Linked DNA regions of Stegostoma tigrinum. The protein of the gene in region 2 purifies or fractionates together with the protein of the main gene of each other region. This does not show direct contact. Links are inferred from orthologs where the notes say so. Each region holds a gene or a part of one and is shown on either strand. Other genes may lie near its edges.

What was found. Proteins that work in one complex are often made in the same cells at the same time.
Region 1: the proteins of lck (region 2) and unc119a purify together in Homo sapiens (affinity purification with western blotting; 3 studies listed by BioGRID and IntAct, with this or other methods). This does not show direct contact. The link is inferred for Stegostoma tigrinum from reciprocal best matches to the Homo sapiens genes LCK and UNC119.

The regions. Positions count from the first base shown.
Region 1 is NC_081380.1:47,275,238-47,283,716, reverse strand, and holds the start of unc119a (protein unc-119 homolog A), read right to left. Parts: upstream 3,384-8,479; 5' UTR 3,360-3,383; coding exon 3,224-3,359; intron 3,192-3,223; exon of another isoform or gene 3,177-3,191; coding exon of another isoform or gene 3,149-3,176; intron 2,956-3,148; coding exon 2,713-2,955; intron 1-2,712. UniProt on the Homo sapiens protein: Involved in synaptic functions in photoreceptor cells, the signal transduction in immune cells as a Src family kinase activator, endosome recycling, the uptake of bacteria and endocytosis, protein trafficking in sensory neurons and as lipid-binding chaperone with specificity for a diverse subset of myristoylated proteins.
Region 2 is NC_081377.1:45,809,009-45,816,992, reverse strand, and holds the start of lck (tyrosine-protein kinase Lck), read right to left. Parts: upstream 3,272-7,984; 5' UTR 3,084-3,271; intron 1-3,083. UniProt on the Homo sapiens protein: Non-receptor tyrosine-protein kinase that plays an essential role in the selection and maturation of developing T-cells in the thymus and in the function of mature T-cells. Plays a key role in T-cell antigen receptor (TCR)-linked signal transduction pathways.

The DNA of each region.
Region 1 (8,479 bases), on a different chromosome or scaffold from region 2:
AGTAAATGAAGAACAAATGGACAGAATGATGTATCGATAGCAGGGAGTAAAATCTGGTGGATGGAGGCGTGTGAGGAGCACAAACTGCAGCATGGACCATTTAGGCTGAATGGCCCATCTCTGTGCTGTATTCTGTCCTTTTATAATTTATAAGAAAATTGTCTCTGAAGTCAGCGGGTGTGAAACATTGCCATCACATAGTTAGTGTTGTAGCACTAAGTATTGCCCTCAACCCAATGACCATATCATTCTTTAATCTATGTCCAGAATTCAGAAATAAAACACTTACAAACTGGTGTTTCCACCTGCACTAAAACAGATTTTTTTAAAAACTAGTTTGTCTCGTTATCTTCAATCCCAAAGATAAAATTCTTTCACAGAGTCTTGTGGCTCAGTAGTACTGTCTCTACTCTCGGCCAGGAGTTCTGGATTCAAGAACCATTTGCCCAGGGATATACCATAACATGTCCAAACAGGTTGATTAAAATTGACAAACGCTCTTTGAATGGAAAGTGTGATAGAGAATGGCAATTCCTGTCTGGGACCTCTGTTTCCAATTAACTGCAGTGTTTTGGGATGGGACTCTGCACTCTTGGGAACTACTGAGAATGTCAGTTTCCAGAAGCCACCAAACGACCAAGGAGATGGAAAACAGGCAGGATCAACTAACATTGCTTTTCTAATTTTGGTTGGAATGGCTGCGAGCTGAGAGATTCGGGCAGAATCTGAATCCAGCACTGACAGCCCTTACAGAACCACACCAATACAGAATCCCTCACAGTTCAGGACAATATCAGTCTAAGTGGGAGTACATGGATTCCGATAAATAAATTCCAAGCAATAGAGCTGAATATTCCCATTTAAAATTTAGTTATTGGGAGCCTCTGGTTTACCATTTGTGAGCAACTACATGCCATGTATCTAAGCTTAGGGCAAAAGACCCACATCAGGATTAAAGAGCTCTCTGCTGGGTTCTTGAGTTACAAATCACAGCTGACAACAGAAAAAAGAAACACAATTAATGCATGAATCTATACAAAGAAATCAAAAAGTCTTTAACTCGAAAATCAAAGGATTAAAACAAAGCTGTAAATCAGAAGGTCAGGCCCAGTGTTAGCAAAGATGAAGCATACAGCTTTTCCAAACTTTTCTAAATAATTACCATATCATTAACCATGCAGTTTTGATCTCCTTTTCTGACGAAAGACACTCTTGCTCTCGAGGGAGTGCAGCAAAGGTTTGCCAGGCTGATACCGGGGCTGGCGAGTCTGATGTATGCGGAGAGATTGACTAGGTTGGGAATATTTTCACTAGCTTTCAGCTGAATGAGGGGGGATCTCACAGAGACTTACAAAATTCTAACAGGGCAGGACAAGGTAGATGCGCAGGGAGGATGTTCCTGGTGGCGGGTGTGTTCAGAACCAGGGGTCACAGTACAAGGAAATGAGGAGGCATTTCCTCATCCAAAGAGTGGACAGCCTGTGGAATTCATTACCACAGGAAGTCACTGATGCCAAAACTCTGAATATATTCAAGAAGCGACTAGATATAGCACTTGGGCAAATGGGATCAGAGATTATGGGGAGAAAGCAGGTCGGGCTAATGAGGTGAACGATCAGCCAAGACTGTGAAGAATGGCAGAGCAGGGTCGAGGGGACAAATGGCCTCCTCCTGCTCCTATCTTCTATGTTTTTATCAATGTATCTGGCACAAAAGATGAACTGGACACAAATCCTATGGTTTGTATCTAACTTCATACAATCATTGGATGGAAAGGCAATGACCATGCTTTCCCAATGTATGTAATGCCTCTTCATTCCTCAAAGGCAGGGTTGGTACCTGATGCCTCGTTTTTAAGAAATTTGTTGCAACTTTATCTACTCAAGGTACTGGAACTATTTCTTCAAGGAAAAATGCAACTTACATCGCGGGTGAAGCCATCACAAAATAATGTAACATTTGAAAAATAATACTTGTTAGGTGACATCACAGTACAGACAGTTTGAACTTCCTTTAGAGTGTTCCAACTGGCAGTTGGGGGTAGGAACTAACACTTTTTGTTAAATGTCATTTATTGGGAGAGACTTACTCTCACTCTCGGTTTTAAAGTGTGACTGGTTTTGGGAGCAGCTCCCCCAGCTCAGCCGCTGGGATACTGCTGGCCCCTGTGGACACTCACTGTGAACAAGTAATTGAGTTGATTGCCCAGAAGCAGTTAAAGGAGGTAAATTCTGCCTGACACACTCACCTTTCCCATTGGCCTCTGCTTCATTTGCCTGGATCCAGGCTTTCCAATAGGCTTATGCCACCCATTGGCTCCATCCTTGCCCTTTCAAATTGTGAAATGTGTGTTCTCACCACCTCCTGTACCGTCTATCAGGTCTCAGCCTCTGAAGGTTTTGGGTACCAGAAGAACCTCAGATACTCTGTGTCTACATCCCTACTCTCACCTTCCACACACAATCTCGTGAAGGACCGCCTCTACTCTCCACCACACCGGTACCTGGCTAAGGAGAGTATTGAGCTCTGAAACTCTGTACCCCTGCCTCTGTGGGCGCCTGGCTCTGGACTGAGGGGGTTCTGAGCCCCTCTTCCCCAGCTCTGGCTCCCCGACTTTGGGGACACTTGCAGCTCAATTCCTGCCTCCCTCCAGCTCTCGGTCTTGCCGCGGCAGTGTTTTTTCAGCTGTCCATTTTAAGAGGCTGTACTCACTCTGGGTGATCTTCTGCAGACCCAGCACGTCCTCGGGGGTCACACACTCCTTCTTCAGCAGCTCCTCCTCGGTGGTGGCCGGAAGCCCTTCACTCGGCGGCGCCTTCTTCACCTTCATGCCGACCGCGTCCTGGTTCTTGGTGTTGCTGCTCAGGGCTTTGGTGCCAGAAAAGCTCATGTCTCTCCGGCTCCCTGCCCGGAGCCGAAGCTCTTGGTGCTGCCGCCGCAGGATCCGCTCTTTACCTGGAGCGGAAATCAAACCGTTACAATGTATCCAGTGCGGACTGCACCACCCACACGCAAGGGACACACACAATCACCCACCACTCCAAATAGACTCTTCCTCACTCCTTCCTCCCCCGCAAACAGCCCATTCATAAAATTACACAACATCAATAACTGAGGGGGATGGGATTTACCCCTCAAGCATCCAAACCTCTCAGTGTTACCCTGTTCTCTCTCATCGAATCCCTCTCCTTTCTGAAGGAATGGTACAATCCGTTCGCAATACCTGAGCAGTAAATTCGTTGATACACGTTTCTATTGCATTTATGTTTTAAAATATCAGCATGGGCTGCAGTTTTGAATATATAATAAACAAAGGGCGGAGCGTTGCGAGGATAGCAACTATTAGGATGTAAGACCATGCATTTCTGACAGCTTAATCTCGGGCCCCCCGGTCTCTCTTAAACCAGAGCTCCCACTACCGGGCACTAGCCGGTGTGTGCTAGAAAGCACCTGCGTACTGTACATGGCAAAGGCCAGTCTCCAGCCTTACATGTATAAACTGCACCTCAACCAAAACTCAGCCATCAGCATCTCACTTCGGTCGCACCAAGTGCTGATCACCACCCTCTGCTCGCTGACCTACTCTGGCTCCTGGTCCAGACACCCTCAGATTTTAAGATGAAGGTCGCTAACGCTCTGAAATTTTAAAAGAAAACACAAAAAAAAACACTGGCAGGGTCTGGACAGAAATCGAGTTAACGTTTCCAATCTCAATGTGACAAAGTGTGCAGCTGGATGACCACATCCAGCTGCACATTGTGTTATCTTGGATTCTCCAGCATCTGCAATTCCCATTTTCACTGATACAATCTCAATGTGACTCTTATTTGGAACAGGAAGCATTAATCTCGAAGAGGAGTCAAACTGGATGTGAACCGCCCCTCACTCCACAGATACAGTCGGACCTGATATCTCATTCCTGGACTACTGAATCCACATCTGTGTTCTCAAATCTCTTTTCATTTCCATCTCTTTCTTCCTCCAGCTCTAACCTGTAAGAACATACCAGGATCTTCCAATCCCGGTCTCTCTAATTTTAATCACTCCATCACCGATGGCCGTGCTGTCAGCTTCCCAGGCCCCAAGCTCTAGCATGCCCTCACTAAACCCCTATGCTGTCTTGAAGATGTTTAAGACCTGCTTCTCTGACTGGCAGTCTGGCTCCCCCTGCGTCTGTGTCAAATTCTGTCAGATAACACACTGGGAATGCCCTCGGATGTTACTGGTGCAGTGTGAATGAATTTGGACCAGTCAGCTTGTGCTCCTGGGAGGCTGCTGGGCCTGCTGTGTTCATCCAGCCTCATATTTTATTACCGAGTTTCTGAGTTGCCTGTTTCTCACAGACAATGGCTGTTCCAGAAACCTAGGTAAGAAAGACCACTTGTCTGATTCAACAGTCATTGCGGCAGCCCAGCAAAGTGCAGCACAAAGAACATGAAAATGCTCAAAAGATGTAGCAGTCACCCACAGCAGCAAGTCTTCAGTCTTAACGGTTCTCTGTATCATTGAAACCAGGTTTCTGTACCCGAGGGAGTGGACTGCTTTTTGTGCCACAGCTCTGCTTATTTTTAAATATTCCCTCGAAGGTTTTGGTACAAACATGTTGTCTTTTCAGAAGCCCTGCAGTAACGGGTTCATGGTGTAGTGGCCGATGGCAATGACCACTAGTGGTCATTGTTACTATCCAGCTCTTGGACCATGGCCGAAGGGCCTGATTCCACACTGTAGGTTACTTAATCTGCATACCTGGGATGAGAGAGTCTGGCAGCATCCAGGGTGACTGGGCAGTACTGTCCACCCTTTGAGAGGAAGGGGTTTGAAAATGTACCTGAAATATTGCCGACCCTGTCAACATTTTGCCAGTCTGCTGCAGCTGGCAGATCATCCAGAAAGCAGTTGAATAATGTCAAAATCAAAGAAAATAAAACAATTTATCACTGAAGCTTGGAATTTGCAAACTACTAGACAGATGACACAATACTGCCTGAACGGAGAACTCCTGGTTATCGCACTTAAACTTCTTGCAACTATCCCATCAAAATTACAGCACTCCATGAGACAACGCTTGCTGATGAGGATCACTAAAAGAAGACGGACATGTCTATACTTTTCTTCTGGAACAGGAAAGTGAGTAGCAAGAAAAGGATAGATGGTGAAGGTTTCATCATCAGGTCATCCCCAATGTAAGACACTTACACACTTCCTTCAAAATCAACAAGCACCCCATGCAGCTGCACTTCCCGCTGGAGTAAACATATCAAGTGACCATCATCAGTACCTATACACCAAATCTCAGCAGCCCTGAGAACATGACACAATAAATTGGAGGATCTGGATCAGTCCTGTCTACATCTGTTAGTAATAAGCTCATTCTCCTGGGAGACCAATGCCTATGTGGTGAAATTCAGCAATAACTGGAAAGGAGTTCAGGGAGATACAGGGTTTCCTGTATTTCCACTTTCCTGTTCCAGAAGAAAAGTATAGACATGTCCATCTTCCTTTAGTGATCCTCATCAGCAAGCGTTGTCTCATGGAGTGCTGTAATTTTGATGGGATAGTTGCGAGAAGTTTAAGTGCGATAAATGTAACAGCAACCCATCAATACTGAGCAAAGTGTCCTCAGCACATACGCTGTATTAACAACACAATGTTCAGACAAGTTGATAAGGTCAAAACACATGATCAACTGTATCACTGTGTGTCAGAGAGATCGCCAGGATGTACAGAATGGTAGACTGATCACAGACCTATGAGTGCAATAGTCAACTTGCAAATTGTTCCAACTCAGTACAGCTGACCAAAAGCCATCAGAGATCCTTCAGTATGGCTGAATTCAGTAAAACGGCTTGCTGCAACAAAATTGGTCAAAAGCTCATGCTGGCACACACTTCTATGGAGATTGTGTTGAGAAACGCACTAATTTAAATACATCATCAGTGAAAACAGCAAACATTTCTCAGACCAAATAGCTAAAGTGCATCAGGAGTTGGTTTGATGAAAATGAGGAAACATCTTTCAAATCCTGCAGGTCAAAAATACAGCACATCTGTAGTAGCAGAGTAATCCAAGAGACCAGTTCTGACACCTGAAAAGCAATGTCCAGAGAGAGCTGCATTCTTCCAAAGTATAATAATGGAATGGGAAGAATTACAATAAACAGACTTCTACAACTCAAAAAAGTTATTCAGCTCTATTCAATCTTGATATGGACAGGCTCCACATCATTACGGTAAGATAACAATCAAAATTCAGACAGATCCGAGACATAAATGAATGGAACAGTTCAGCAGGCTGATGAACATACCAACTACTGACATTTTCATCTTTTGGGCATTTAGCAAATTCCCTTTGGAAAGCTATGATTGAATCCACCCACCCTTTCTGTAGTCTATAGCTACTTCCTGCAGCGTATTCCAGTTCATACTCAACTACAACGTAGAAATGCTTTTCTTCATACCACCTTTGCACATTTGTCACTCGCTTTAAAACAACACTATTCTCATTACAACAACCAGAATAACTCACGTCAGATTTGTATGTTTCAGTGTAGGCCAGGTCGGAGAGTAGTTATGTAGCATGTCTTGCTTATCTGGGTAATAAGCACTAGAAAAAGTCTAAGATATAAAAGGTAATATCTGGTTTAACAGCCTGGTTGTTAGAATTAGGAGTAGGTTATTCAGCCCCTCAAGCCTGTTCTATCAATCACTGATGATCAGAAATGATCTATCTTTGTTCAAATATCTATTCATATGCTTTGCTATCAAAAAATATGTATCCATCTCAATCCTGAAGAGCTGCTTTCATAGAAACATTTGTGTTAAAACATTATCCAGGTTGTGGGATCTCAGTTTCACTCAGCTGCTGGTTGTCCAGGTTATATTGACTGAATAAGAAGATGCTATATCATGTTATTGGTGTTAAATGTAGTCTGGCACTCATGCAGTTCTGAGAAGGTGCTGCGTTGTCAGGTAAGATGCAGTTTGGACAAACTGGTACACTGCTGCCCTGTGTGGATATTAAAAATTCTACGGCACGGTTCAAAGTGTCCTTACCCATAATCATTCCTAAACTAAATCAATTCTCACCTGATTGCCATATGTTATTGCTCAGCTAAACACCCCCTTCTCCGATCAGAAACTGAGGCTACTTTTGTATCCCTCTCAATACTGTGGCATTTGGTTCTTATACATTGAACCCAGGATATTTGTCATCAACTCATAACAATATGGCACTTTCACCCAATGTCTTTGGCCATGGTAACATAGCTCCTAGTCAAAATCAGAACAAGGTGCCTACTCCCAAGGATCAGCAGCAAAGAAGTGAATTAGGCTTCTGGGTAATGATGGAGTGATCGCTCATTCCTCCCTCCACTCTGCTTCATTCTAATTTTTCTCTCCTTATTAACCTTTTAATCAATCTGTGCTTTTTAAAATATATTATGTCAATTCTTTGGATCTGCACCATTTTCAGTTTGATACCGTCTTTAATCTTCCTACTAAACCACAGATGGTGCATTTTCCCCTTGGAATTTTTATTTCTCACTAAAATGTACGATGATCACGTCAGTAAAATAAAGACCTGAGATCCCAGTTATAGTGTCATAGGGGACTGCAAGGGCAAATAATCCCAAACATCATACTTGTTCCACACTGTTCAACAGAGCAGTTGAATAAAATCACAGAATGACCACAGCACAGAATGCTGTATTTGGCTAATCAAGTCCATGCTGGCTCCTTACAAATACAATTTAGCTGGTTTCACTACCCATCCTTGCATTTTTAAAGTGGCAGCGGATGGCACAATCAAGGTTTTCCACGATTTGTCCTGTCTATTTGAAATGAAGAAAATATGTCACTCATTTGTTAACTCTTAATGCCTGATACAGTCACTCATCATTCGCTGTACTATGGGATGAGTGTGTCAGGGTGGTGCGTGATGAAGGTCACAACATTGTGGGGAGTAGGGAAACAGAATTTCATCTACATGCCCACACAAGGTTTCCGGAAAAGAAATACATTTGTCAGAAAACTAGAACTGATACTCCAACTGGAAGTGGAAATTAATGTGGTCTACTATAATTTTTTTCCCTGATGGAGTCTGTCCTTATCCAGAATTTAATGCAGAAAAGTCTACCATCTGGTCTTCTCGTGGCATGTTTTTAAGAGTTCCCTGCTGGCCAGCATGAGATTTATGTGGCAATATTGATACATTGACTTGGTGAAAGATCATTGTTTTACATGAGAGAGGAGATTCTGAAAAAGTATCCTAATGAAGGAGCCTACTACACAAAGCAGTAGTTACCCCTGTGTATGTACAGGAGGGGGTTTAATCTAGGGTAAAACACATCCTCTGGCTATATTAGGCACTGAGTTTTTAAAACAGTAATGTTGCTGCGCTTCACATAGAAAAGATTTGTATTTCTACAGCAGTATTCACCACCCTCAGGACAGCACAAAGTGAAAGAAATCATAGTGAAGTG
Region 2 (7,984 bases):
AAACAGTAACATTCCAACTTTATGATTTACATGTGCAATTCAGTGCTAAAAGTATTAAATTACAAATTACAGACACTATATGAAATTTTACTCGTAAGTCATGTAGAAATAATCTTGTGATATGCATCAAAATTAAAATTGTATCATAATGCCAAAGAGCTGAGCAAGGATGATTAGTTTATGGTTCAGTTTCCTAATTTTATTTTATAATATTGAACAGAATTTTGTAGAAATTTATTTGCTGTCTCCACCCTGCCTCCCACCACTTGCCATTAACAACCTCTACCATGCCTAACTGCTCCAGACTCAATACTTTCAATGATTTTCTGGTTTGCCTCTCAATTTCCACTTTCCACAAACTTGAGTTCATCCAAAACTCTGCTGTCTGTATTCTTACTCAGACCAAGTTCTTCACATGTATTATCTTTAACGCTCATTAATCTACATTGGCTCGTAATCTAACAATGCCTCAATTTTAATAAGATCAAATTTTCCATGATCTCAAGCCTCCCGAGCTTTTTAACCACTTGAAGCCCCAAAGCCCTCCAAACACTCAATGTTTCATCAATTCTGGATTATTGTACATCCCTTTCTCCCTCTGCCCTACACTGACAGCTGTAGCCCAAGCTGCCTCAAGACCCTAAGTGCTGGAATTCTCACTTCATACCGCTCCATCTCTATTTCTCATTCACAATGCATCTTAAAATGTATTATTTTATCGAAGATTTTAGCTGTCTACCCAAATATTTCATTCTTTAGATTGGTGTCAAGTTTTGTTTTATGACTTGCTATGGGATTTTTTCCCTATATAAAGCAAATCCAGAGAAACTCAGCAGGGCTGGCCACGTCTGTGCAGAGAAAGCAGAGCCCAGTGGCCCTTCAATGAAGATCCTTTTTCCTCTGAAGAAGGGCCTCTGGACTCTAAATGTTAATCCTGCTTATTCTCCACAGATGCTGCCAACCCTGCCGAGTTTATCCTGCATTTTCTGTTTCTGTTTCAGACGTCCAGCATCCGCCTTAAAATATAGAACATAGAACATAGAACAGTACAAGGCCTTCGACCCATGATATTGTGCTGAACTTGTATCCTAAACCTGAGGTCTATCTAACCTCCACCCCTACTTTCTTTATTTTATTATAAGAATATAACCATTTATTGAGATTATGTACCATGAAGCAATACTATAATAAAATTCCTTTTAATGTTGAACTTTAGAATGCTTTTTATTTGCAATTCTCATTTTCCTTCCAAAACTATTTAATCACAGCAAGTGTGTTTTGTTGGAAGTCATTGCAGTAAAGATCAGAAGCGAATTTCCAATTGTTCAATGCAGCAGAACTCCACAATACAATCTTAGCTGAAAGAATATGGACAAAGTCTTAGTGAATATAAACTAAAATCAATTCTAGAACTGAACTGGGCTGGCTCAGATTACTCAATCTAACTAGGTACAGGCCATGGTGAATCTAAGCTGTGGCAGTTTCAATGAAATCTCCTGCGCTTAAAGCCTTTGAAAAATGGAAAAAAATTAATAGAAGCAATGGACTCATTTAACAGAATTGTAATGTCCTCAGCTTTAAAGAGAGTACCTTCTCACTGTTCAGTTTTTGGATCAAGATCTCACATTTGATTTTGTTGCTCGTTGGCTCAGATATATTCATCCCTATCAAATGGATACTACACTGGGATTGTGTGAACTTTGTATTGAGACACAAGACAAATACATCCTCGTGGATAGTCAAGAAAAATCATGTGGAACAAACAGTGGTAAAAGAAGTTACAATTATTCATTTTCTTTATTTTATAAGTATGACGCCCATTTTGCAATTACTGGTTGTCCTGGGGATAAAATCTTGTGGATGTATAAATTGAAAATGTGTGGTACCATCAATTATATCATTAGCATTTTGAAGAACTAGATGTTTTTCCAGTCACAAAATGCCAACATATTTTCATTTTTTCTCTATCCCTGATCTATATGAAAGAGGATGTTATGTTGAATTGGGGCTGGTTAGCTCTGTTGTCGAGATGGCCGGTGTGTGCTGTAAAATAACAGCAGCTGCATAGGTTTAATTCCAATGCTGAGTTGGCTTAGGACCGGCCTCTTCGTCCTGCCCCGGGAATGGGTGACAATGACAAACCACCAAGAAAAGGATCCACCAAGAAGACAATTCAGGATGAAGCATCAACAGAGAATGAATCCAGAATCTGCTCTCGGGCAAGACAAACAACAATGAATTCACGCTGAACATCCATGTGGTCACATCCACAGTTATGTTAGAGCTGTTTCTGGCTGTGCAAGCATACTCTCCACTATGCCTAATAATTATTAAAAAAAAATTCATGTAAATTATCTTATATAAATGCACGTTATTTAAGAAGGCATTTATCATGCCCAGACTCTCGCTAAAAAGGAATTTTATATTTGAGTGGTGAGAATGAATAACTCAGCAGTAAAACAGTATCCCACCCAGAACAGAATATTAGCGATTGCTGTAAATAAACTTCTCCATTCCATAAACAAACAGAATTCTTTTCAATGCTTACTGTATGACCAGAAAATCAGTAGGAAATCAGTTAAAACAGGACACTTGAGAGTTATAGTTATAAACTTAACAGAAAAGGAAGTCTTAAATAATGTATATTTTGTTTTTAAATATCTCCCAGTTAACCTGAAGTAAGCAGTTAGGGTGCATAGCTTACTGCCACACATTTTAAAATATGGTATTTGGATTTGCTACAATATATTGATCCAGTGGCTTGAAGGAGTTAGAATTATGCAGAAAATCATATTCTCACACAGTAGACATTAAACAGTATTTCAGTTTTATAATGAAATACAATCAGTTTATCCAGGGATATATCATTTTGATTGTGCAACAGTTTCCAAGCTACTCAACTGTCCTGAACTCCAGGGAGCATTAGAAGCAAACTTACTTCAAAATACAAATCTATGCCATCCACAAAGAGGAAAATATATCTTCACATGATATTGAAAATAATTTTGATAGCAACATGTTCCAGAGCTGTAAAGAATGATGTATAAGATACTGCAGAAGCTCTTTAAAAACTTTCAACTTACCTTTTTGTTTGGTTGTAAACTTTATCTCCCGTGCATGGTATTATTAACTCAAGACGGTGAAAATGTTGGTATTCCTTTTGTTCAAACTGGTTGGATTTTGAGGCAAGATGAAATTGTACAAACCCAATCTCAATGAAGTAAACCCATTGAATTAATTGATCTGTTCCACACACATTGTTGTTGTTTCATCGTTCAGCACCTTGTGATCAAACGTGGCATTTACCTCAGAGATTCTTTGTCTTCTCTGACAAATCATCTCATCTCCACAGCCAGCAAAAGGCAACCGACCACTTCCTGTCGAATTGAGCAACAGCAGAGAAATGGAGAAGGCTGTTAAGACTGATCTCTCGGGTTCCTCATTGCAGGTGTGTTGGTTTCAATAGCAGAATTAAGTTCAATTGAAAGTTACTTCATGCACTATACATTGAAAACAGCTTGTTTTTTCGAGGAACAATCGTGCCATGGTGTAAGAGAAATGACCAGCTGCTATGAGATGGAGAAACCTCAAGCCTGTTTCCAAGAGTCATCAACCCACAGGTAAAACTGCCTTGGAAACTGGGAATCCTTCGAAACAAAAGTCCCCAAAATGAAGCAGTAAGTAGTAAGATATCATGCAGCTGCTCTGCTGTGAGGCTGGAGCCTTCAGCAATGCAGATGAACCATCATTGGTGCATCAGTTGGACTTGATATCAACCCGCATGTGTAAGTTGGAAATTGCTGCCTTTCCTAATGGTAACAAGAAAGGCTTTTGGGGTACAGTGGTCATGCCCCTATCTCTGAGCCAGAAGGGTTGGGTTCAAGTCCCACTTGCTCCAGAAGTGTGTCAAAACATTGCTAAGAAAGATGATCTGAAAATATCTTTCTCATGTTAATAGCCCTTTCACCAAAGATTACAAAATGGCCAAATAATATTCTGTTGTTAAAACTTGGTAACAATTTGATTATTGTAAATAAATGGTTCAAGTTTGTCCCTGCACTAGTCCCAGACATAAACATCTTCCTCGCCTAATTCCACTGGCTTCTCTGTGTTGCAGTCAAATCAATCATTCCCATTGACACTGCTCAGCCTGTATGGGGCAGCTGTCATCGCTTCTACCATTGAATGCTACTTACAAATGTCCTAGTGAAGCTGGGAGCTCACACATCTCAGGGAATGGCTGGAGTATGGAACAATTTGAGTGGAATCTTTCGTGCCCTGGAATGAACCAGGCAATGGTGAGTCAGTTGGGAAAATGCACAAGATTAAAAAAATAAGAAGTTTGAAGTTGAGAAAAAGAAGGCTGATTTCCATTCAAGGTTTTAACAACAAGATAAGAACCTCACTGATGAGTGGCAAGGGGAAAAGTTTGTACACATTAACATCTCATTATTAACAAGTTTCACTTCAGTTACATGCATTTACATGCAGTTTGCTGGATGCCGACAATTCCCAACATGAGCAGATGGGACTCTGCCTTGAACAATCATTCCCAATTGTTCCCTTGTGTCGCACAAACCTCATTGAGTTTTCAATCATGTGGATGAGGGTAGGGCAGTTGACGTGGTGTACATGGACCTCAGTAAAGCTTTTGATGAGGTTCCACATGGTAGGCTATTGGAGAAAATATGGAGGTATGGGATTGAGGGAGATTTAGCAGTGTGGATTAGAAATTGGCTTTCTGTCAGAAGGCAACGAGTGGTGGTTGATGGAAAATATTCAGCCTGGAGTCCGGTTACTAGTGGTGTGCCTCAAGGATTTGTTTTGGGACCACTGCTGTTTGTCATTTTTATAAATGACTTGGACGCAGGCATAGGTGGATGGGTCAGTAAGTTTGCAGATGACACTAAAGTCGGGGGAGTGATAAACAGTGTGGAAGAGTGTTGCAGGTCGCAGAGAGACTTGGATAAACTGCAGAATTGGGCTGAAAGGTAGCAAATGAAGTTTAATACAGATAAATGTGAGGTGATTCACTTTGGGAAGAATAATAGGAAGGCACAATACTGGGTCAATGGAAAGATTCTTGGTAGTGTGGATGTGCAGAGGGATCTTGGTGCCCATATCCATAGATCCCTGAAAGTTGCCTCCCAGGTTGATAGTGCTGTTAAGAAGGCTTACGGTGTGTTAGGTTTTATTGGTAGAGGGATTGAGTTCTGGAGCCGTGATGTCATGCTGCAACTGTATGAAATGCTAGTGCGGCCTCACTTGGAATATTGCATACAGTTCTGGTCGCCCCATTACAGGAAGGATGTGGAAGCATTGGAAAAGGTGCAGAGAAGATTTACCAGGATGTTGTCTGGTCTGGAGCAAAGGCCTTATGAAGAAAGGCTGAGGGACTTGGGTCTGTTCTCATTGGAGAGAAGAAGGCTAAGAGGGGATTTAATAGAGACATACAAGATGATTAGAGGATTAGATACGGTGGACAGTGAGAGTCTTTTTCCGAGGATGATGACTTCAGCTTGTATAAGGGGGCATAGCTGCAAATTGAGGGGTGATAGATTTAAGACAGATGTCAGAGGCAGGTTCTTTACTCAGAGAGTGGTAAGGGCATGTAATGCCCTGCCTGCCAATGTAGTTAACGCAGCCACATTGGGGGCATTTAAACAGTCCTTGGATAAGCATATGGATGATGATGGGATAGTGTAGGGAGATGGGCTTAGATTAGTTCACAGGTCGGCACAACGTGGAGGGCTGAAGGGCCTGTTCTGAGCTGTATTTTTCTATGTTCTATGTTCAATCTCTTAGGGCACACTGTACAGGCAGTGGAGTGACTTGTACAATCACCATCCTCTCCCCCCAAACCCTTTCGCTGCCTCCCTGCCCATTTTGGTTGACTCTGGACACGTGTCTGGCTATCTTTTTGCACATGGTCAACATCCATTTCATAAATCAGAACAGATTGCATCTTAGGACACCTCACTTAGCCCTCATTCACTTTGTACTTTCTTGGATGCTCACAGCAATTCTGTCTTACCTTGACCTTCCCCTATATTGTCATTTTAATGCCTCATTCAGAACTTACAGCGTCATGGTACATTTGTCCTGCCTTATCCTTTGGCACAGACACAAAGCAGGGTAGCTTGTCATGTTTCCCAGCTGTGATCCATCCAGGGTGTAGAAGTGTTTATGTATGACACTGTGCTACATGAATCTCACAAGTACACCGTGTGACAACAGCTAACGCAGCAAACATACTGTATGTGCCTCAGCCAAACAGCCATGAACTCAAAGTCTAAGAAGTGCATCCTCAATCAAGTCAAGGCTGATTAATGTCAGTCAGGGTCTACGAACTTGGTCAGTCAAGGCTCAATATCAGTCGAGGGACTTGTGTGGGACTTGGATGGGAGTTTGGCTTCTGTGACGGCCTGGGCTGTGCACACAACTTTCCACTGCTTCCTATGCTCCTGGGCAGGCCAGTTGCCGTACCATGCCATTATGCACCCAGATAGAATGCTTTCCATGGCTCAACTGCAAAAGTTTGCGAGGGTCCTCATGGGCATGTCTAATTTTGTGACAGTCCCAAGGAAGAAGAAGCATTTTTGTGCCTTCTTGACCATCGCATCTACGTGGGAGATCCAGGACAGATTGTTCGCTATGGTCACTGCACAAACTTAATACTCTCAACTCTCTAAACCTCAGATCCGTCGATGTAAATAGGGACATGCCTCCCTTTCAGGAGTCAAGGATTTGTCTAAAAGTGAACCTGGTTGTGTCTCAGCTGACTGAGCAGTTTGGAACTGGAAACAGGTTTCAGAGTCAGAGACAGAGAGAGAGAGAAAAGCAGAAAAGTGTGCTCTCCTCTTCTTCAAAGCTGAAGTAGCCTGTTTGCTGCAGTAAAGCAAGACTCAGTTTAAATTTAAAACAAAACGGTACCTTTCCTGCAGCAGTTGCTGTGCGTTGTGACTTTTGAGTGCGTAGGTCAGAGACATTTTCTAAGTGAATGAATTGCTTTCTATTTCTTACAAACCTGCATTAGCTTCCAGAGAAAGACCATCAAGATGAGCCGAAAATGGATCATTTCCAGGTCAGAATCAAAAAGTGTGTGTGTGTGTGTGTGTCTGTGAGTTTCCTTATGTCTGAGAGTGTCTCTGTATCTGTGTGTATGTACGTGTTTCTGTGACTGTCTGTTTGTGTGTATGTCTGTGTCTGTGTGAGCGGGTGTGTATGTGAATGTGTGTTTGGGTGTCTGCGGGACAGTTTATAAGGGATTAGAGTTTTCATTATAGTGTTATATGTTAATGTTTTATATCTGTCTACTCATAGCTATTATGTAATTACTTACAATAAATATTAATTCTTGGTGAGCACAGAAATCTGATCTACATTTTTATCAATCTTGGCTCAAAAGTCAGGTAAATTGGGGAACATTGCGTACTTTAAAAAAACTTTAACATTTAGTTTGACTCTGAGAATAGTGGGGCATGATTTACAGCATGTTGAACCAATGGGCCATAGCACAGCCAAGCCTATCTCACTTCACAGGACAGTCTTGCCATCCCTGGTATCAACCCAGTGAACCTACACTGCACTCCCCCAATTATAAGTATGTCCTTTCTTAGGTAGGGAAACCAAAACTGGACACAAAGCTGCGTGGCATGCTCTCACCAATGCCCTGTAATCCTCTGGCATGAAGATCAATATATCTTCTTAATCAGAGAGTGTGTTCTTGACTGCTTGCTGCAGCTACCTGTCTCCTCTCATTGCCTGGTGTAAGAGAACACCCACATTCATTTGTACATTCACATTTTCCAATCACATCTGCCATGTGTTTGCCCACTCACTCAACTTATCTAAATCACCTTGAAGCCTCCTTACATCCCCCTCACAATCCCACCCAGATTGGTTTTGTCAGCAAATCGGAAATGTGTATTTTGTTCCCTCCTCCAGGTCATTTGTTATAAAATCATAGAATTCCTACAGTGCA